Notamacropus eugenii: one gene and its partners. The protein of the gene in region 1 interacts with the protein of each later gene in a pairwise test. Links are inferred from orthologs where the notes say so. Each region holds a gene or a part of one and is shown in the gene's direction. Other genes may lie near its edges. The genes, in order: USP20, VAPB and BEND7.

Region 1 (8,086 bases):
GTAGTTACGGGAATCACAAGACATTATGTGTTACATAAACGTCAGATGTGACACAAGTAACACTCTGAAGGAACGAATGAATTGTCATTGGAAGAGAACACACGAAATATACATTCAACAGTTGCCAGTTAAGACAACAGCATTCCAACAAAGGCAAAACCAGTGCCTGTCCTCCGAGAGCTCCCATTCTGCTACGGGGGCAGGAGGGCAGCATCTTGGTCGCGGGGAACCCCCGCAGCTCTCGCATCGTTTTGGGGGTGCTCGCTCCCCCCGGGGGGCGGAGAAGATAAAAGCCGGGCAGTACGAGATCAATCCCGCAGGCTCGGGGTTAGGGTCAAGGCCGGCTGCCCTCCCGTTCGGACCTCGTCCTCCCACACCAGGGGCTCGGCCGATCCCGGAGGGATGTCATTGGGTCGGGGCTTCTCCGCACAGCAGTCCAGCCGCCCCCTGCCCCGCTCCCCACTCACCGGACCTCCTCACTGTCTTGCTCGTCTGACTCCGACTCCGAGTCGACGCGGCGCTTGCGGAAGGCCTTGCCGGCCCGCATGGTGCCCCGAGCCCGGGTTTCCACCAGGGACTGCCGCGGGGTGCCCCCGATGGGGCGCCTTGGCCCCGGAGCTGCGCAGCTGCTCAGGGCTGCTTCCGGCGCAGGCCAGTGCGGTCAGCGCTGCGTGCGGCCGCGGCGGCGGCGGGCCCGCCTCCGGCTCCAAGGGCCCGCGCGGGGCGCTGCCCATAGGGCCGCGTGCTCGGAGCCCGCCCCGCCCCGGCCGGCCCCGCCCCTCCCCCGTGCCGCCGCCGCCGCCCGAGCCGCGGGGATGGGGAGCGGGCAGCCGTGCCGGCGGCCACTCGGGAGCCCAGCCCGCCGAGGTGAGTGTGGGCGCGCGGGGCGAGGGCCGGCCGTTATCCTTCCGAGCCGCGGGGGCGGGGAGGGAGGCGGCGATCTTCTGCGGGGGACGCTCCCCCCGCCTCCCTCCCCTTAATTCCTCTCCCCTCTCATGGCACTCCCCTTTCCTCCTCTCTCATTGCACTCTCCTCTCTTCCCCCTCCCCCGCTTTCTTTTTCCTCCCTTCCCCTTTCATCCTCCTCTCCTCTCCCCTCCCAAAGCCCAAAGCTTGAGCGGTGGTCGAAGTTGTGCCAGCATTCCAGCTCAGCCCCTCGAAGGTGCCTTCCAGCGAGACAGGAGTTCGGCAGGTACACCAGGTGTACCAGTGTCTCTTCTGAATTTCACTAATTATCTAATTCAGACTGTAGAAAGTTGGCCTTTTAAAAAATGAATGAGTTAGCCTAAAATAATACTTTTAAAAGTAGATTGTATTTGGGGACTTAAGAAACATTGTCACAGCCCTAAGGTGAATTTTTTAAAGGAAAACGTTTACAACTTTCCCTCCTCTTGTTATTTTTTGAAAACTAAACACCACTAACGGCCGCATCAGGCCCCAGGCCTCTGTCATCCCTAGCCAGTCCAGAAGGGAGCCTCCTATATTTTTAGTTGACATTACTGTGGTAGCCTAATGATCACTGGATTCTGGAGGGAGAAGATTCTGTACTTGATTTTAATATTTACTTGCAAGTGACATTAGCTAAGTTCCTTATTGATTCTATAATTTGCTTTGTTGTAGGTAAATGAAAGAGAATAAAACTTCCTCTCTTACACAGGTTCTGTGACGATTAAGTTCACCTTTTAAAAATGTGTTTCCAGAAGTCTAAGGCTTTATGTTAGTATATAGTAATTGTTTCCTTTTTTTTAACCATAGGAGAGGTCATTTCTTTTAGTAGTTCAGATCTTCCACTAGCAAGTTATCCCAATTTTAATGGAGTCACAGTCCTCATTTACCCTCCCTAGATATGCTTTTCAGTTGCTTATAATGTATACACCAATGCTGATTGGTTTTTTGTCATACCTTTGAACTGCCAGTGTTGGCTGGTGTCTGGGAAATGGATTGGTTTTTTCCTTTGGAAGGGTAAAGCTTGACCTGCCCTGGGCGTATTACAGTATATCATACCAAGCCTGAAAGGTAGATGGCACCAGGTAGTTCCACGTAGGTGTCTTTAAATACAACTGTATTTGTAGGCATCAAGGACTGGAAATCTTGTCTCACAACCATTGTTTTGGTCATTGCTTAGCTAAGTACCCCTCCAAAGATTCTGAACTTATACTCTGGCTGTGACCTAGGCCCCTGTGCACTAACTATACCCTTCTAGGAAGAATTGAGTGGATAACCTGCATCATAAGCTATGACTGAATGAAAGATTGGCACCTTTGGTTTAGTTAGCACAAATTAGAAGACCTGGGTTTGAATTCTGACTGCCACTTTTTTGCTTTGTGATCTTAAATCACTTAAAGCTGATGTTTCTGTTTCCTCATCTGTAAAATGGGACTGATAACTGTATTTATTACCTACCTCACAGGGATTTTGTGAGAATTGAATAAGGCCATGGCTGTAGACAATGGATATAAAAGCATTTTATAAACCACCAAGTGTTACTTTAATTTCAACTTTTGTTACTATGAATTTAGATTTAATAAATGTTTTTTAGATTGAGTGGTGAGAATATTTTGATCTTTTTGTTTTGTTTTAGGAGGAATGTTTAGTTCTGGTTTGAACTGGTTTGCTAGCTATTTGCTTAAAAAAAAACCTTTAGTTTAGGTTTGAGATCAGTAAAATTAATATTTGTGTTAGGCAATTAGTATTTGTGGTTCAGCAAATTGGTACCATTTGTTCTAATTCCTAGTTTGATTGGTGGTGCAGTGGAAAGATCACCAGATCTGGGTTCTGCCACTAACTTTCAGTGTGACTGTGGGCATGCCACTGTCCTACTCTAGCCCTCAGTTTTCCCAAGATGAACAGGTTAGACTAGATTATGTATCATCATCAGCTTTCCAGCTCTAAAAAACCACACATCTAAGTCCCCGTTTAAAAGTCACTTAATTCACACTTCTCTATAGAAGAGGTATCTGACACCACACACAGGCAGCATGTGTGCAGCCCCCAACATTCCCCAAAACATTGGAACAAGATGAAAATGTAATTGGAAAATATTTAATAAGACAATGAGATGTGGTTTCCTAAGTCAGTATATGGCCTCCAACGATCCTGATATTTGGTTTAATGATCTGGTTTCTGTTTGAGTTTGACACCACTGCTCTAGTATATGTATGATAATTAAGCTAGCATTGATATAGCTCTTTAAAGTTTGCAAAGTACTTTACATATATTTTACTTTATCCTCACAACAGCCTTGGGAAGTAGCTGCCATTATTATCCCCATTTTATAAATGAGGAAACTTGAGGCAGATAGGTTAAGTGACTTGCCCTGGGTCAAACAGCCAGAAAATGGCCAAAATAGAACTCCAGTCCTCCTGATTTCAGTCTAGAGCTTTATCCCCTGCACCACTTAGTTGTCTAGGAATGCCTCCTGTGTGTGTTGTTTTTTAACCAGGCCTTGTTGATTTCTCCTACCCCTATCCAGTCCTCCACAATGTATGAAAACCCTGTCTTATCAAATCACTGTTTCTTGTGCAGGACAGTAATGTCAGGTGCTATAAGGTTTTATAAGTACTAGTTATGGTCCCTACTCTCAAGAAGCTTACATTTAGTTGAGGAGTCTAGATCATTACAAGTGAAATCATTCAATTAACTAGTATTTATTGAGTGCCAACTGTGTGCTAATCATAATCACTGAAGATGGAACAAGGACTGATCTGTACCTCCAATGACCTTACATGTTAGGGATCTAAGGGGTAGAAATAACAGCTACAATATTAACAGACGTTTGTTTATTATACTGCTTTACGAAGCACTTTCATTACAATAACTCATAACTAATGCAAATTAAAACATCCCCTGCCTTTCTTAGATTGTTGTTTGTCTCTTTTTGTTCCAGGCATCTTTGACAGTGCCTTGAAGCAATAGATATTTGATAAGTGTTTGCTGAATGGTGTGTAAAAATATAAATATTCATGTTGAGTGTAACAGTAAAAATATTTAAATACTAGTTCAAAACAACACAGGATGCCATAAGGTCGTAACTGATTGTGCAGCCAATTATATAGCCAATAAATGCCACTGGGAGCCAGCCATCACTGAGAACTGGGCTGGGCTGTCCTTGAAGGAGGCTTGGAGGAGATGGGGCTAGAGCCAGGTCTGGAAGCTTAGGCAAGAAAGGAGTCTTGCTTGCTTTTTCTCTTGTGGTCCTGTGCGACTACCCCAGCTCCCCCTGGATTTCTAAGGCTTATGTGCCCCGTCAACACCTCCACCCTCTCCCCGCAAAAAAGGCTATATATACCGCCTAATAGAATGCAAGTTCCTTAAGGACACAGACTGTGTCTTTTGGGGTAGAGGGGCAGTCTTTGTCTCCCACACGACTCGGAGGTAATGGGTGCAAGTTTCCTCCTACAGAACACTGAGTTATTGACAGCTGACACTGGTTTGCTCTCAAGGAGATGGCAGTCCATAGGAGAAAGGACAGGACAGATGTTTGGTGATAAAGGCGATGGTGCTTTTTCTTTTTTAAAAAAAGGTTTTACTGATTCTCTTTCAAAAAACAAAAGTCACTGTCACTTTACAGTGATCCCACCCACCCACCGCACAGTCTTCTCTAACAAGTAAAACCTGCGTGCAAAACACATCTTTCCGCCCCCCACCCCCCACCCCGCTCCCCCCACGTTGGCCGGGTCTAAAGAATTCTTGGTACGGCTCCTGTAGGCCCCCATCTCCGCAGGCAGGCTGAGCACGGTCCCCTTCCCAGGAGGCTATAACCGGGGCACTGGGGGAGAGGGCCTCCCCAGTGAGCCCCAGGAGACCCCGCCTCCTGGGCTCCGAGCTGGGACGCCTGCGGGCCCCGCCTCCACCTGGGCCTAGGAGCGGCTTGGCTTCCCCAGCCCACGCCCCGGGCTCGTTCGCTCGTGGCCTCTCTCTCCGGGTGGGAGGCCCTTCCCCGGCGCCCCCTGCCCCTGCTCGGTGCGCGGACCAGCCCGGCGCGGCCCCCTCCTGCCCCAGCCCTCCTCTCTACCTGTCCCCCCGCCCCCTTCCCTCCCTCTCTGCCCGCGAGTCCGCTCCCCCACCCCGGGCGTAGTCCCGGACCCCCGGCCTCGGCAGGAAGGCGGGAGGAGACCCCAGGCCCTGGGGTGCCGAAGCCGCAGCCCGAGCCCGAGAGAGGAGAGGCGGAGACCGAGGAGGGCGAGGACCCGAGGAGGGGGCCGGTGAGCGGTCAGGGGCCCGGTTCTGCCGTTGGGGAGCCTGGGGGCCTGGCCCCGGAGTTTAGCCCACCCGAGCTTAAGGAATTGACTGGAGATGGGCGGGGGAAGGTTCGAGGGAGAGGGGGAATGAAAGGATGGGGGAGGGAGAACCAGACCCACCAACTAAGAGGGGAGAGTTGGGTAGAGGGCGAAGGTTAAGAGAGGGAAAGTGGGAGGACTCGGGGAGAGTTAAAGGGGGATGGGACAGGGCTAAGAGAGAAAAGGGAGAACGGGGGAGGGTGGCGAAGGTGAGGCCAGCTTAGAGAGGTCCGGGAGTGAGACTAGGGGAGGAGCAGGAGAGGGTTCAAGGAAAGGGGGCTTGTGGATAGATCGAGGCCGGTCAGGGACCTCTCCCCCGCCTCCACCAGATAAGGAGGAGAAGTTTGGTCAGTAAAACCTCGGAGGAAATTTTGAGGTGGGGGGTGATGAAGGTTAATAGGAACCAGCATCTTTTGAAGACAGAATTAAGGGAATAAAAGGGAGTCAAACAAGGCATGGTGGGGGGAAGCGAGGGGGAATGGTTTAGAAGGAAGCCTGCAGTTGTGTTGGAAAGGGGATGGAGTGCATTGGTAACTCAGAAGAATTAGAAGATGAGGACTGAAAGCAGAGGGGTGACAGTGGTCGACAAATGTGTGGTGTATGCAAAAACCAGGCAAGAAAACCGAAGGAACTGGTGACTCTAGGCAGAATTAGTTAGGTCAGTTGCCTGGGATGAGAAGCGTTTCCCAAGGGGCTGCTCCGAGCCTCTGTTTAGTTTTTGCTGTGCAGCGACTCCTCTCATTTCAGTGAGCACCAATGGGGCGGGCCCTTGGTTAGTTAAACCTCCTTGCACCCACTTTGCTGCTTTTTTTCTTCATGAGGAGGGAGGTAATTCTGGGATTACAAAGACTGTCATCACAACCACATCACACCACCTGTGTGGACAAGGATGATGCAGCAAAAGGTCCTTGAGAAAATGATGAGTAACCCTGAGAAGCAGCCTGGGCAACAGGCTGCCTGGGCTCTAGTTCCGATGTTGGAATTTGACTCTTGCTCCTAGACGTGCATCCTCCAGACCCTGCTTTTATCAGGGAGTCAAGATGACAGTTGCATTTGATCTCTTCTAAAGAATCATTTATCTTCACCTGCAGCCTCTCTTTTGAAATCTTAATTGTGTAACCTGGCAGCCTCCAAAGGAAGGCTGATTTCATTCTGAAAGCTCAGTGGAAAGCTTTGTACCTTAGTGTATCTGCATCATTCTCTCTCCCTCCCTCTCTCTCTCCCTCTCTCACTCACACCCACACACCCACACATCCACCCCACACACACACTTGCTCTCATTCCCTCTCCCCCATAAGTTTTTTGGTTTTTTGTTTGTCAACTTAGAGGGGGAAAGTGCCGTGTGAATTAGCCAGGAGAGAGAATGCATTTGTGTGTAGAGTAATAATTTAGTTTTTGTATGAATATGAAAAGTGATAGATTACTTATGCTGTAGCAAGATTTGGGGAAAGGCAGGATATCTTTTTTAATTTAAGTTTTAGCAGTGGCTGCTGGAGAAAGAGGGAAGACATAGGAGCTCTGCTTTTTTATCAATTGTAATTTCAACAGGTCCTGAACGAATACCTACTTTGTACATATTCTTTACCAGGCATTCCATTTCTCTGACATTTTTTCAAAGTGTTTCATCATATTGATCATTGACAAACATGCTCCCACTTCTAAGATAAAAATAAAGAATCCTGAACATTTTAAGTTCCTGATAAAAGCTCAATAAGGATTAGTGCAAAGAAGTTGTCAGTTCTCTGGGAAAAGTTGTCCACTGATAATTGGCAGTCTTTGCCTTGTGCTACATTTTTAGGGTTTGCTCATCATTCCTATTAAAGGAGGATTATTTACTTGGCTTCAGAAGCAATTAACTTCAAGCTTAGTTAGTGCTTACTGCAGCCTTGCTTTTCTTTATCTATTTATAGGCAATTCTTTTTGGGTTCCATAGGTCTGGATGTTAGGCCTTGGGGAATCTGGCTCTAATTTCTGCCTTAGTATTGGGTCTTTGCAGGGTCTGTGGTAGAATTCTACATGTGATGTGTCAAGAGAAGAAAGTGTATCATTCATGGGTGAAAAAGGTCTTTGATTGTGAAGTAGTACTCCTCAGCTCAAGGAATCATTTTTTAGCAGGTCTGAACCTGATGAGAGTTCAAGAGCTTTGGGGACATGTGCTTCTAGTGTTTTCCTTTTTCTGTGGGACCTGGACAAAAGGGAAACTAATAGAAGCTATGCTTAAGGTAATTTAATTTTTTTTAACAGACACATTGTAATTTTAATAAATGATTGTTTTAGGAGATGATACAAATTTATCATTTTGTGATGACTGTTTTGTTACAGTGAAAGAAAACCTTGGTAAAAGCCTATGGGAATAAAAGTCCCTTTGGTAGTCAGGAGAAAGAACATACATTTGAATCTACTTTGATTATGAGTATTCCTTGATCTAAAGAAAGACTTGGCTTTTTCCATATAGTATAACTAGGTAAGAGACACTGAATTTCTTCTTTCATACACAGGACATGATATGTCTGGGATATATATAATGTAGAGCATTTTCTCAGAGAGTTAGGAAGTTGGTCTGGAAGCGCTCTTGATTTAAAGCAAAAATATAATCAAAAATTTTTTTTTGCTTTTTTTTTTTTTTTAATCTGACCTCTACTTCAGACTGCAGATTCTAAGTACAGTATAGCTAACCACAAACTTTGGTAATCCTGTGCAGGTCAATGTTTCCTTCCACACTAAATCAAAAGCATTCAGTCTCTTTTCAAAATAACTAGGGGAAGTTTCAATTCCTGATTTCTCGTCTAATTGAGAAAGCAACAACAA
Region 2 (7,360 bases), about 26 Mb from region 1:
TCAGCTGAGTCATTCTACAGACTTTTATAATGTAATGAATGACATGTTAAATCACTGCAGGTTTATGTTGTATTGTGAATGGATGTAAACATTTTACTAATAAAATGTGTTTATAAACATGAAGACTTGCATTCTAGAATGGTTTTTCTTTGTGGTTTGATCTAAGGAGCACATATTTCCTCCAAATCATGATTTCTCAAATAGCATATCTAAAACAGTTCCCAGACAGAGTTGGGAAACTAGCTACAGAACTGACAGTTGTCACACAGGCAAGTGGCAACAAGAACCAGCTGTCTTTACTTTCTAGGTTATCCTTCTGGATGGTCCTAATCTTCCTCATCCCTTGTGATTCAAGACAGGGGCCAGAATTGCCAAGGCCAAGATTAGCCCTTTCTTTTGAGGGTAGAGTTGAATTGGTTAAATGGGTCATGAAATAAAAAGTTCAAAACTAATTTCACTTCAAACTTAGAAGTTTATCAGAGATGCTAGTGTTCCATTTGCAGTGTATATGTGAATAGTGTTACTGTGTACATGCTGTGAAAAGTAACATGTTTTCATCTTCTCTTAGCTTTTTAGAATCAGGATCCTTTACTGCTGTAATGTGCTTGACAGTACCTACCTGCAGGCTTAGACAGGGCAGGCAGTGCCTAGAACATGTTTCTCAGATTTCAGATAATTTCCAAATTGATTGGTAACTTTCATTTGAAATTCAGCACCAGACTTCTAGTGAGGTAGTGATTGAGATAACTAACATTTAAGGCTTAAATTTAAAGCTTGTGGGTATTTTGAGTCCAATCAATACCAGCTTAAAAATATGCTGCCCTACTGAAAAGGTCGATATTGTTTTGAGAAACCAAGCATCAGTTTTCTTAGATCTTTTATTATAAGCATTAAACTATTTCTTTAAAAGGAAGACAAAAGAAAGTACATATCCTGGAGGGCTCTTGACACAGATTGTAGCAAAAAAATTTACATCTGACTCTGGTCAGAATGAATTAGGGTGTTAATAGACCCATTGTTTTAATCAAGAGCCCAAGAATTTAGATTTTCATCTTAAACAGTGCTGCCTAAAACTTCTCAGTATTTTCTAGCAGTTTCACAGTACTAGAATTCAGAAAACACCTTTAATAGTTAATAGTTGAAATTTATTATGCTGCTTTTAAGGTTTGCAAGATATTTTGCACATATTTGCATATATTCATTTGACTCTCACTGAACACCTGTAAGGCTGAAGAAGATTTGAGAGTCACTTGGACAGCAAAGAGATCAAATACTTAAGAATTTGATTCAGGCTATTTACTGGAATGTCAGTCAATAATGAAGCTGAAGCTTAAATACTTCTGCCACATAATGAGAAGACAGGACTCCTTGGAAAAGACCCTGATGTTGGGAAAGATTGAAGGCAAAAGGAAAAGGTGACAACAGAGAATGAGATACATAGTATGGGAATAACAAACATGAACTTCAACAGACTTGAGACCTTGTGGAGGATAGAAGGGTGTGGTGTGGCAATGGTCTCTGGGGTCATGAAGAATCAGCCATGGCTGAACAACAACAACCCCGTGAAGTAGGCAGGTCCTGTTATGCCCATTTAACAGATAGGGAAACAAGTTGCAACTCTCCCATGGTCACACAGCAAATGTCTGTTGCATAATTGGAACTCGGGTCTTTTTTGTCTTAAGGTTTAGCATTTTCCCACAGTACTAGATTGGCATGTAAAGATTATAAAAATGAAAGTACTGTATTTATTGTAAATAATGTGAAACAACCAAACTGATTTTTTAAAAAGTTCTTTGGTAAGTCTTCAATACATAAATAATATAGATCCAGAAATTTGTTAAATAAACTTATTTGTTAAATAAACTTATTTGTTAAATGATATGGGAACAGCCTTCAAAGGTTTTACAAAGATTCTATTCACCTTTCCGGAAACAGCTATTTTTTAAAAATGAAATGCTGAACTTTACATTTAAGGTCAAATACCTAGATTCTTTTCATAGTGCTAACACTGACATCAGCATTCCCATCTTCAGCTAACATCAATACTATTAATGTATGAAAGAATGAGAATAAGAATTATGAAAACAACAATAAGAACTCATTTTTAACCCGTGTGATTGCAATGCAAATTTGACAGATTTTATTATACAAGCCATTTAAATTATAAAATATCTAGATTTGTTTTTTCCTTTAATATGTTATTACAAAAGCAATAATTCCACATTTGACAGTTAAGATGTTGGGGATTCTTTTTCAGTTACCCTTGATTTCTTTTTAAGTGCAAAAGAACAATTTTTACAAGTGGGATAGAGTATAATTGCCAAATTTACGAATTTCTGGGAAGAAAGTTTTAAATACGAAGTTTATAGAAATCAGATTCATTTTTTTAAAAAGTACAACCTGTTGTTCTAAGTGACTGAGTTTAAATAGAAAAATCTTAACTTGCCTCTTCAGTATTTTGAAATTGAATAAACTGATACAGAGGCTAAAGTGATCTGGCAAATGTGGAAGAACATTTGAAGAAGTAGAAAAAAAATAGCATCTGAAAGTGATGGTTAAATACAAATCACTTCCTGGACAAAGTTGATTTCAGACATCTAAGCCTGCTGTTTGACATGCTTAATTATTTACTGATGTAACAAGATTCATGACTGCTATATGTGAGCTGATTTGTATTTGCATATATAATGCTAACCCCTGTATATCTCCTAAGAGCTGAGGGTCATTTAACATGTGGCTCATAATTAACATGCTAATTTTTTTTTCATATTGCAGCTTTTAAATAGAGACAAACCAAAGTTGTCATTCTTCATTTAAAAAAAAAAGTCAAATGAAGAAAAGCAAAATGATTTAAATTATGTAGCGAAATGAGAAAGAAGAATCTTTCTAAGTCACTGAATGCACAACATTAAACAGGATCACGGTTAGTCTGAACCACCCAGGGATCAGAAAGAGGCCTTCTAAAGATGAACAGAGAAGTTTGAGATGGACAGAAACAGCTGAAGAGGTGGGATACATTATAAATAATGCAGATATATACTGTAGCCTACTTCCTTAATGTTTCTACACAATCTTCTGCCTTGTTGCAAGCTTTAATAGGTTGATTCATCGTGTTTTATGGTCAGATGTTAAAACACTCCTGCCAGTGAAAAGCCCTAGATCTGCTTAGACACAAAAATAAAAATCAGAACCAGATTTTACGGCTCCTAATTGTCTAGAGATAAAATACTGGGACAGCACTGACAAATTATTATATTAAGGAATTGATCTAAAAGATTAACAGGGAAAATATTTATTTTCAGAGAACTTCCACAGAAGAAGGTAGAAGAAGGTATTTCATAATCCTTCCCTTTCCTGGTTGATGTAAGACTTTCACATTAATTATATTTTATAGAATAGTCTGAGGATACCTTCAGAGGCTTTCAGAGGATTGTAGAGCACCTGTTATTTAATATATAGGAACGGCAGTAGGGTCTAACACAGATCATTGAACCCAAGGGTAGAAAATCTGTGTTAAAGGTCCCTTTTTACTAATAGTATGTTACTAAGTCGTGTCCAACTCCTCCCAATCCCACCCACCAGAGTGGTTTGCCATTTCCTTCCCCAACTCCTTTTACAGATGAGGAAACAGAGGCAAATGAGGTGAAGTGATTTGCCCAAGGTCGGATCTGAATTCGGGTCCTCCTGACCCTATCCACGTCGTCACCTAGCTGCAGCACAACGACGGACAAATCAATTGATTTCTCTTGGCCTCAGTTTCCTCATCTTTAAAGTGGGGGTAATTACCCTGAGCCTGGTCCACCTAACAGATTAGTGAATCTAACGATAGTAACCGGTGGTAGAAACTGTTGCAAGGTTATGTACAAGCATTATGTATTATCAGAATAATGCACTTGCATCTGGGTTGCCCAAGTTCCTTCGCTTGTTTCAGAAGTAAAACTGATATTCATTTGAACACTGCTGCTCCCGATGCCCACGGTTCCGCCAAGGCCCCGGGCACCATCCTTCCAGGTGACCTCTGGGCAAAGGTAACTATCCGGTGGTGGTGGAAAGAACGGTCAAAGCCGGCCGCTGACACCCCAGAAAGAACGAGAGCCGCGGTCTCCAGCAGAACGAGGGCAGCACCACGGCGGGGCGGCGGCGCGCTCGTGCCGCCCCAGCCCCGGCCCCTTCGGGGGCTCCCCACGCCCCCTCCTCCCGGAGGCCCAGCCCCGGCGCCCCCGCCCCTGGCGCCACGCCCTCCCTCGGGGCGCGCGGCCCTGCCCTCCTCTCCTCCGCGCGCCAGCTCTCCCCTCTCCGCCCCAGGCGGATCCAGCACGCGCGCACTCGCCCAGGTGGCCGGGAAGGAGGACCAGGCTTTCGCAGCGCTCGCTACGTCAGCTCCGGCCTGTCCGGCCCTCCGGGTGCTGCATCATCGCAGGCGCCTCCCGCCGCCGCCGCCGCCGCCGCCGCTACCCCCGCTCCCTCGCCTCCGCCGCCTGCTCCCTCTCTCCCCGGGTCTGGCTGTGGGTCTGCGTGTGCGTGCGTGCGTGTGCGTGCGTGTGCGAGTGAGTGTGTGAGGGTGCCGGGCCGCGGCTGGGCTCCCCGGGCATCTCGCCGCCGCCCGCCCTCCGCCAGGTCGCCGAGACCCCTCTGCGCCTTCCGCCGGTGCTCCTTGAGCGTGTTTTCCGTCTGTTATTCCATGCCCTCTTTATTTTAACCTCCTGGGTCACCGACCCTGGTGCAGCGGGAAGCGGCCGCCTCCACCCCCTCTCCCGCCCCCGCCCCTCCCCCAATCCGAGGAATATGGCGAAAGTGGAGCAGGTCCTGAGCCTCGAGCCGCAGCACGAGCTCAAATTCAAAGGTAAGAGCGCGGGGACGCGGGCCCGGCCGGGGCGTTTGCGGGCCCTGGCCGAGGCACCACTGGCAGCCATTTTCCGGGGGCCCGGGAGAGGCAGGCGCGAAGAAAATGTCCTTCAGGTTTATTTCTCGGGGGCTCTGTGTGTGCGTCTTGGCCGCTTGGAGGTCCCCTTCTCCCCCCCTCCCCCCTTAGATTTAGCTTCAGATTCCCCTCCCCCACCCAGGAAAACGCGTTTCGAAGGGGCGTCCACCTGTTTATTGTATTTACCGGGTCTGAATCCTGGACATTTCGGGACCGGGCCCCACTTGCCTTGCTCCTTTGCAGAGCCCAGCTCCTCCTCTTCCCACACCCCACACTGCCAAAGAGGAGACGGATAGCCTGGAGAAGGGAAGGCTCCGGTTCGGGCCGGGGCTGCCCGCTGGGCGTTTGCCTGCCAGCGCCGGGAGGACTGGGTGGGTGCCGGGAGCTGGGCTGGGGGTGGGGGAAGGGCTGAGCTTCTGGGCCTCGGGGTTGTGCGGGACCGGGCGCTGGGGATTTTCCAGACCCTCTTCCCCCGCGCCCCAGGTTCTGGACTTTCTGATGTTGTGCCCCAGAAAGAAAAATGGAAATTTCTCCTTTGCAGAAACGTTTCTCTTTCCAATGACTTGACTTTACAGGATTCTATTTCTTCATCTCCTCCCCTCCTCCCCGCGCCCAGTTTTCTACCTAGAGAAACTGCCCGGGTTGGTTTGTGCATACTTTGGGTAGCCTTCCTACGAATGGGTAGTGTGTAAGCTTTCTCGGTGGCAGCCTAAGTAAATAATATCTTCTTTTGGGGTTGGTGTCTGCTCTCTTTGCTCTTATTAAAATTGTCAGGGCTGCTGGGAGCTTCGAAGAGGGGATACCAAATGCAACGTGTGCAACTGGTTCTAATTTGTTATTTGCAAGGAAACCTAGGGCCTTTAGCCCAGGGTTTGTCAGTGCTTTACATTTACCTGTTATTTTGTTTATGCTTCCCCTTCTTGAGGGATTGCTAGAAAACATGCTAAAACTCTTGCCATTTTGCTTCATAAAACAGAGACATTGGCTCCTGAATGTGCAGGGACTTAACGTTTGCTATTTAAAATTAAGTTCAAATAGTTGAAGTTGACAGAAGAGAAGGTGTTTTAATGCTGTCCTATGGGACGTTGCAACTTTGTAACTGCACTCTAAGCATGTAGGCTAGTTGCTACATTACTAAAACAGGGTAATCTACTGTAATGACTTTATTTATGTATTTATTTTTAGCAAATGTTGGTGGAAATGATTTCCATTTAGAGTTGTTCCTAAGGGCCATCACCCAGGTGTGTGAAATAATAAGGGCTGACACGAATAGTTGCACTTTATTTTTATACCTGGATAAACTGCCCTTTGTCAACGTAGGTTTGGCTAGCCTCTAATTAAAACTATGTTGCTGTAATCTCTCAAAATCATTCCTAAGTTATTACTGCTTCCCTAACACGTCCCAACTTCATTTACCTAAGCCCCCACTAGTAGAGAAAGGAGACACCTATAACTAATGGAAAGCCTGAAGAATTCTATTCTAGGCCACTAGAAAATTGTTGCCAGGCCATCATCATGTCCCTAGAGGACAGCTAATGTCATTTTAGAAGTCTGTTTATCTGCTTGCTATTCTCTTTAAACCTTTTCTATGCTTTTGAGTCAACATGTTGATAGATTATCTTTTTAGTATCAAACTATGTCTGTAAAGAAGAGGGCCAGTGTGTAAAGTGGTGGATGCAAATTAGTAGTAGTAACTGAGTGAATTTTTGCAAACTGAGGTTGAATTGGGTGCCATGAATGCCACTGAAGAAATGACTTTTTGTTAATTATCACTTATGGCACTCTACTAAGAGAAGAGGAAATTTTGAGAGTCACTATGGTATAATGTAAAGAACACTGAATCTGGGGTCAAAGGACCTTGAATTTAAATTCTGAACTTTGGGCATCCCACTGAACCTCTCTTTTGGCTTCAGTTTCTTTATCTGTAAAATGAAGAAACTGAACTAGATGACCTTTCAGGTCCTTTCCAACTCTAAATTATCTTATGAAAATATCCCAAATAGTCTGTGCTCAGTGTTCCATCTTCCTCGTCAGGTGATTCATCTTTATGTGGAAACCCTTAGGGAAAGCAAGAAATGGGCTTTCTAGAAAAGAGGAGAAAGAAAACCATTTTTTTAGTGCTTTCACTGCTGGCGAAACAGAATTCCAGAAATCACATCACTCAAAGCAACTTCAGCATATGTGTCAAGTGAGTAGTAGCATATGAAGGACAAATGCCTATGGAGCTAAGATAGGAACACAGAAGGCATTTAAAAATATCTTTGTAATGCTTAAATTATAAACTGAACTTAACCACAAAATTAGCTAGAGAGTCATCAGCAGTCCTTGCTCTGCAGAGATCAAATTCATTACAGTGCAGAAACAAGCGAACATTGCCGGCTTCTTCATCATATCCTCCTTAAAGGAAAGGATAAATGTGTAAGCATTTTGGGGAAGAAG
Region 3 (7,804 bases), on another chromosome or scaffold:
AATCCTGTTTATTATCCATATTTTGTACATTTATTTATAGATACTTGAGGCCACTAAATTAATTATTGGTACTTCATTGGATTTTGCCTCCTAAAAACTTCTTGGTGTCACTACATACCTGGATTTAGAAATTATCTCAGATACTTTGTAGTTATTTGAGCCTGGATAAATCATTTAACTTATCTGAAACTCAGCTTCCCCATCTGTAAAGTGAGGATACAAATACATACCAGAGTTGTTGTGAACATTAATTGAAGTAATATATTGGACACTTTGAAAATCTTAAAACACTACATAAACATGAGTTAAACATAAACAGGTGTTATTTATTATTATTACATCATACTTATTCTCTATGATATTTATCTTGGTGGATATACATACGATATTTTCTCCTTCCCCCTTATTTTTCAGTTTAAAGTTCTTTTGATTAAAATCATTAGTTCTTGCCAAAACCAAAAGTACTGACATTATTTTTAAAAAGTATAGGGTTTTACACAAAGTAGTTTTTCAATAATTATTTGTTGATTTGACATGGATATTGACCTGGTCCAGAGTCTGTGGTCCACCTGTTTATAATAATGGTCCACAAATAATGCTTTTGAATAAGGTATTCCCTTCCTAAGCGATGTTCCAGTCCTGGGTCTCATGTCAGTCAAAAGATTCAAGGGAAATTCAACTGAATTGTCCAAACCATTCCATTATATTTGGCTTTTATTTTTAACTACACATATACTATTCTCTATGGTAAGTGGAATTCATCTTCCCACTTGAACTGGAAGTGTTAATTTGTTAATAGCTTCCCTAGGGTTTTGCATCTTGGTATGACAACTTCAATGATTTCATCCTAGTTTAAGTGTAATAAAACCTCATTTTATATTCGCAGGTATTAAAGTTCCTAAATGTCCTTTAGTCTGTCTGTTTCTCAGCTTTGTTTTGGTCAGAGGTTTTTAAAACCTTTAAAAGGACAAAGTTGAACACTAAGACTTGCGACTTTCAATTTAGGATGGGTCAGAGAGGAAATAGGGAGAGCAGAGGAAAGAAAGCAAAGGAAAGATGAGAATAGATTTAGTAATGTACGGATTTAGATGAAGGGTTGAAGACCTGATATGACACTCACAAACAAGACCTCCAGGAATGGTGAATTCACTACACTCAAAGGTAGTTCAATGCAATTTTTGGATAACTATAATTGTTAGGACTTTTGTCCTAGTGAACCTAAATTTTTCTCTTTGAAATTTCTATCACTCAACTGCCCTCTTGAGCAAAACATAAATTGAGAGCACCTCTTCTACACCACAGCCCTTTGAACACCTGAAGATTATGCCAAATCTTAATGACAATTCTTTTCCCACCTCTGTCAGTCTGTCTCTGTGCCTCCAGAGGCACCTTCCTCTATACCTCTCCTCTTAGAATCTTTTGTTGTTTAGTTGTTTCAGTCCTGTCCAACTCTTTGGATTTTCTTGGCAAAGTTACTGGAGTAGTTTGCCATTCCCTTCTCCAACTCATTTTACAGATGATGAAACTGACGTAAACAAGGTTAAGTGACTTGCCCAGGGTCACACAGCAGGTAAGTTTCTGAGGCTAGATTTGAACTCATGAAGATGAGTCTTCCACATTTCAAGCTCAGTGCTCTATTGCCACCTACCTGCTCTTCTTAGAATCCAGCTCCCCTCAAGGTTTTGCTCAAGTATAACCTCCTAGAAGAGGTCATTCCTAATTCAACCAGGTAGTGCTCCTCCCCAAATAACTTATTTTATATATATTTTGTATTCATTTATCTGTGTACATATTGCTTTCCCCTAGTAATGTAGAAACTTTGAATGCAGGTACAATATTTTATTTTTATATTTTCAGCACCCACCGCAGTACCTGCTACGTCGTAGGTGCCTAATAAATACTTTCTAAATTGAAACAGGAAGGATGGGGAGGATATAATAATCTCCCCTCATTCTAGACTAGAGGTTTTCAACCTTTTTTATATCATAGTCCTGTTGGCAGTCTGGTGAAGCCTAGGGACCCTTTTTCAGAATGTTTCTGAAAGCATAAAATACAAAGAAACCAATTATATTGAAATACAGTTACAAAATAAGACAAGTTCAGAGACTTCAAGTTGAGAACCTCTGTTTTATACACTAATCTTTTCTTAATGCAATTTCAGATTCCATGAGCTTTTTTTGGGGGTGCTGTAAATTCATATTGAACTGAAAGTCCACTAAACGCCCAGCTCATTTTTATATGCATTATCTAGTCATATCTCTCCCTTCCTGTACTTGTAAAGGCAATTTTTATTCCAAGTATAGAACTTCAGATTTATCTCAACTATGAGAGGTTCTCTCATTTAAACACCTCACCAAAATATGAGTATATGATACCTACAGAATTCTTCTTCTGTATAAATTTAATAGTCCTGTCAAAAATGAACTAAGGAGGGGCAGCTAAGTGGTGAAGTGGATAGAGCACCAGTGCTGGAGTCATGAAGAACTGAGTTCAAATATGACCTCAGACTTGATACTTAGTAGCTGTGTGACCTTGGGCAAGTCACTTAACCCAGATTACCTCATAAAACCAAAAAAAAAAAAAAAAGAATTAAGATTAGTTTGGTGGGAATTGTTATTTATTAACCCAGAGTGGCTGATATTGATCACTGCTGTACTTCCTAAGTATTCACAAAACATGGCAGAATCTTGCTAAGGTAGCAAGCATGTCCTGGCAACAGGTTGCCTGCTTGCCAAAAATCAGCCTACTTAAGTGCAGAGACAGTGATTACCAGTAGATGTACCACCAGCTACGGGACTAGCAATTCTTCTGCTGTGGAATTCTTCTGCTATGGTAATCCACTAAAGCAGGGAAGGAAGGAACTGAATGAAACATGGGCAACTGTCAATCATTGTACAGCAGATATCAAACACATCAACATTCCCGAGTATCTAGAGGAGAACTAGATGAAAACATAATTGGGTAGTAGTAAACAAAATAAAAATACAACAGAACATAACATCAAACGGGGTTTCCTAAATAAATATGCAACCAGTAGGGATCTCTTTTTAAATATGCTTCTGTATGAGTTTGACACCTCTTCCCCGCTACAGTATTGTCTCCTTGGGTGGGGTCCATGGTGAAATATGGTGCTACTATTCATCACCATGCCCTCCCATCCTCACTAGCCTTTAAGGCGACTAGGGATTTGTTATACCTGCTGTCCCAAAAGACCGAGAGCCGGCCTTTTGGGACACCCTGTTCTGTAACCCAACTATTCCTCCACCTAAATGCCTCTTACAAAATCATCATAGATCTAGAAGGCACCTTTGACAGAAGAGAAAATTGTGTCCAAGGAGGTTGTGACTTTTCCCCACCAACCACCCTCTCCCCTTTCCTGTCTCCTTTCGTGTGGTCTTTTTTTCTTTAGGTTGTAAACTCACTGAAGGCAAGGATTGTCTTTTTTATTGTGTCTGCATGCCTGGCACATAGTAGGTACTTAATAAATGTTTATTGTATTTATTGGATTGGGATTAAGTGACAGAAATGAAATTTGACTCCAGTTTCAATGATTTTAACCACTAATACCATTGTGGCTCTCTCTCTAGTGCTGCACATCCCAAGAGGTATACAATTATTTTTTCCCTCTCTCCCAGGGGATGTTATGAAGAAGAAACAAACAGTGTCCTTGATGTGCTCTGTGCTCCTTAGAGATGCCCATAATAAGTCTAATGAAATGCTTATTGTTTATTCCCTTTATTTTGATATCATTACGCCAGTCTTTTGCATCTGCCTTAGGGATTTGGTTCTTCACCAGCAACGGAGACAGCTAATGCAGAACCTGAGGGATGACAAGTTTTCTCAGGACGACCCTCAATCCACATGTGTTCTCCAAATTCTGGGGCCACCCAGACCAAGAGGTCTGTAGTCAGTATTCGGGGCTCAGTGTCAATGCTCTCTACCCTTTTCAAGACCGTTGGTTCATTTCATATGTAGTCATTTGTGGACAGGGGAGATAACCTCTAACAGCTGCTTAAAATAAGGGCTCTCTGGTTCAGGAATGTGAGAGTAGGAGGCGGTTTGGGGGTGGCGGGGCATACCAGCCTTCCCAGGACTGAAGCAGACAAGAGGGGAGGACCCCCCCAAGACTTGGAGTCTCTAAGGAAAAGGAAAGAACCAGCAGGATCCTGGCCGTGAGGGGGAGGCTCCCCATGGAGCTTCCAGGCCGGCGGCGAGGGAGGGGGGGAGGTTGTATGAGCTGAGCAGCGCTCTCCAAAGCCGGGGGGAGGAAGACTCCCCCTGCCCCGAGCGAGCCCCGGGCCTTGGGCGGGCGGCGGCAACGCGCGCGGGGCAGGGAGGTGACGGGGAGGGCGCGAGCGCGGGCTTAGAGCGCGAGCGCGCGGCGGCCGCGGCTCGCGGGAAGCTGCTCGGTCCGTCCGTCGGTCCGTGGGTCCGTCTGCCCGTGCGGCCTCCGCCTCCTCGGGATGGCGTGGGGCCGGGGGCCGAGCCCGAGGAGCGGCCGGCGGGCTCGGCTGGCTCCCTCAGCTCGGCCCCCAGGGGGATGGCGGAGGCGGGGAGGGGGGTGGCCCGGGGCGCCGGTGCGAGGGCCGGCTCCCCCCAGCAGGTGGCACCGGGGTCCCAGGCAGCGCGGGCGCTCCCTCCTCCGCTCCTTCCCCTCCTTCCCTCCGCCCGCCCCGGCGGGGGGGGGTGGGGGGGTGGCGAGCGCCTCTGACCCGGCTCCCCCGGCTCCGCCGCCGCCACCTCCTCCCGGCCCGACCCGACCTGCTGCCGCCTCCCTGGCCGCGCATCGCCGCCCTCGCGCCGCCGCCGCCGCCTCGCGGGGAAGGAGCAGGAAAAAGCGCCCGGCGCCTGCCCGCCCCTTTCCCAGCCCTCTGCTCCCGGGCCGGCCCCGAGCCAGCCCCGGGCCAAGTCCGGCCCCAGCCGAAAGTTGTGGCGGAGGGCGGCGGGCCCGGGCTCGGCAGCTTCCTCGCCTTGTCTCCGGGCCGGGGGCCCGGGGTGCGGGGCTGGGGGGCGAGAGCAAAGTGGCAACTTCTCCGAGGGAAGCCTCCAGCCCCGCCCACGCCCGGGTCCGAAATCGCCCGGGGGGCCGGATCGATTTTGTTCCTTTACATTATTCTTACTGTTGTCGAGACACGGACCTGGGTCCTCCCGGCGGCTGCTGCTGCTGCGGCCGGGTGACCAGAGCCTCCGCCGCCGCCTCCTCCACCTCCTCCTCCTCCTCCTCTCCCTCCCCCCTGTTCCTCCCTCTCTCTGTCTCTCCTTCTCTCTCTCTCCGCTGCCACATTCCCTTCCTCCTTCCTTCTCCCCAGCACCATGGAGTTCTCCGAGAGGAAAAGAAGCAGGAAATCCCAAAGCTTCAAACTGGTGAACCAAGGTAAGAAGAGAGGGACGTGGGGGCGGGGGGGCGGGCAGAGGGGGGGGGGAGAGAGAGGGAGATAGAGAAGGAGAGAGAGAGAGAGAGAGAGAGAGAGAGAGAGAGAGAGAGAGAGAGAGAGAGAGAGAGAGAGAGAGAGAGAGGTGGGGACCGGCTAGGGGGCTTCTCTCGGGTGGGTGCCAGAGACTCGGAGAAGGGACTTGACCAGGGTGTAAACATCCCCCCAGCCACCAGCGCTCTCCTATCCCCTCTCGCCCTCTCCCTTGTCATTTCCCTCATCCTCTGTTATTTGTCAATGCAATTATGTATTTTCAAGTCAGCAACTGTATCTTTAAAAAGGGTTATTGTTATTATTTTTAAAAGAACCCGCTCGACAGCGGGGGCGTTTTGGTGTGTGTGGGGGCAACGTTGATGCTTGGCGATGAGACCACTGTACACAAAATAAAGTTGTATGGTTAAGGGGGGGAGTCAGGATGTTATTGAACGTAAACAGCCCAAAAAGCGAATCAGGAAATTAGCAAACAATGACACTTAGGGAGCAAAAAACCTTCTTGTGCTTTCAACTACTGTGGCCAGGTTTGGGAAGTGGGGTGTTTGCTTTTCAATTTTAGAGGTGTACAGAAGTCTGGACGAATGATTCTTGTCCCTAAGACCAAATTCTTCCCCCCTCCCCCCCACCTCCCTTGTCGGTCCCTCCCCCCCACATGAAAGGTTTTGGTGTGATTTTTCCTTCTTTCATTTCGGAGGAAAAACAATGCCATTGCACAAGGAAAAATTGTTGCTATCTAACTTGTTGGGTTGTGTGATTGGTTTAGGAAAACGTGTTTAAAAAGAATTATGCATCTAGTGAAAATCAATTTTTAAAAATCCCATCAAATTTCTCAATAATTTAACAGGTGTATATCTCAACTGCTTGGGTTTAGGCTATTCAGAGGGGAGAGGGTAGTAGTTGTCCAGTTGAGGATGAGTTACTTGTTAGGATCTTATTTTTTTCTAATTTGGCTTAGAAAAGACTGAGAAGAATTAAAGCCCAAGGCAAAAGAAGTAAGATATATCTGTTAACCAACTTGTGACTTGTTAGATTCGAAGCAGGTGATTAGTACATTGTAATGTCACATTTCTCTTTTGAGGGTTCAGAACACCTATTTTCCTTAAGTCTCTTTTTTGAAACAACCTTAAATTTGAACAAACACAAAAACTTAGAACCGGTCTGTTTTTCCTCCGATGTTTTATGGACTATTGGGGGTGGGAGCAAACCAACTGTTTTAAAAATTCTAAAAAGTCATCATATAGACTAATGAAAAGTAGAGGGCTATTTGCAAATAACAGGGTTTTTTTCCTAATTAAACCCCAGCTAAACTAAATGTTAGTGTGGAGCAAATAAAGCCTACTTTTAGTTTGTTTGAAAATTCATTTGATTATATGTTTTCTTCTCAATTAAACTGATTTAAATAGTTAAGCAAGTGGATAGAATTTGGTGAAAGGGGTTTTCAGTCACTATACCTATTCAGAATATTAGCTTTTTGATTCTTTGTAACTTTGCTTCACTGAGTTGATTGCTCAGTTACTTGAACTTTTAAAAGTTTTTTCATATATAACCTGCCATTTTGGGGGGCTTTATTCATTCAAGAATATATGTTACTTCTGTTTTTTCTAACTTTAGATAACTTATTACCATATCTTGAAAATGAGAGTAGTTGTGTAGGTGTTGGTCTGTAATGTCCAAGGGCACCCATAAGTCATGAATGTAAAAAGAAATCTACCTTTAAGGCAGATAGTTAGGTGATCCCAATTTGTAGGAACTTTATCAAAACCGCATGAGCCTCTACAGAGAGGCTAGTGAAATTCTGTATTTTTAAGTTGGACTGACATAGGAAGTTTATAACAAATTCTGAGTCTGACTCTTTGCTATGCAGGTGCATTTTCAGAAAATGAGCCACTGCATATTAAAGTGCAGTAGCTGTATGCAAAAGATACCCTTATGTGAAAGATGAGACCCTGGCTTCCATATTCAAATTTCACTCTACTTAAAACAACAAATGAGTATTTTTCATATGAGCTTCCTTTTAGACTTTCAATTCCCAGTATTTTTCAGTATTAATTGTTAAAATCAAGGGTGTTGTCACTAACTATTGGGAATGCTCTTAATATGTCCTATACAAATTTAGTTGTATAGTTCAATGTAAAAGACTTCTATGACCTGGGATGCAGCACATTTTCCCTATTGGTTATGAATTTACTTGCTGAGGTTTAGAAAAAACATTTGAACTTTCATGCTGACATACTTGTCAGTGAAACCTGACATATATCAGGCAAAGTTATTCTCAAAAATCTGTGAATATTTATTTTGTACAGTTTCAAAAATACTGATAAAATTCTTGGGTGCTGCTATAGTGTTTGTATTCTGTGGTTAATCTGATTTTTAAAAAT

Evidence for each region.
Region 2: the proteins of USP20 (region 1) and VAPB interact in binary tests that used the Homo sapiens proteins (3 or more experiments, as listed by UniProt). The two-hybrid records come from large-scale screens. The link is inferred for Notamacropus eugenii from reciprocal best matches to the Homo sapiens genes USP20 and VAPB.
Region 3: the proteins of USP20 (region 1) and BEND7 interact in binary tests that used the Homo sapiens proteins (3 or more experiments, as listed by UniProt). The two-hybrid records come from large-scale screens. The link is inferred for Notamacropus eugenii from reciprocal best matches to the Homo sapiens genes USP20 and BEND7.

What each region holds. Positions count from the first base shown.
Region 1 is NC_092872.1:481,408,223-481,416,308, forward strand, and holds the start of USP20 (ubiquitin carboxyl-terminal hydrolase 20), read left to right. Parts: upstream 1-5,070; 5' UTR 5,071-5,203; intron 5,204-7,478; exon of another isoform or gene 7,479-7,500; intron 7,501-8,086. Other genes in the region: C1H9orf78 (splicing factor C9orf78 homolog), read right to left, coding at 468-547.
Region 2 is NC_092872.1:506,916,623-506,923,982, reverse strand, and holds the start of VAPB (vesicle-associated membrane protein-associated protein B/C), read left to right. Parts: upstream 1-4,260; 5' UTR 4,261-4,785; coding exon 4,786-4,843; intron 4,844-5,309; exon of another isoform or gene 5,310-7,360. UniProt on the Homo sapiens protein: Endoplasmic reticulum (ER)-anchored protein that mediates the formation of contact sites between the ER and endosomes via interaction with FFAT motif-containing proteins such as STARD3 or WDR44.
Region 3 is NC_092874.1:168,216,094-168,223,897, forward strand, and holds the start of BEND7 (BEN domain-containing protein 7), read left to right. Parts: upstream 1-4,763; 5' UTR 4,764-5,313; coding exon 5,314-5,374; intron 5,375-7,804.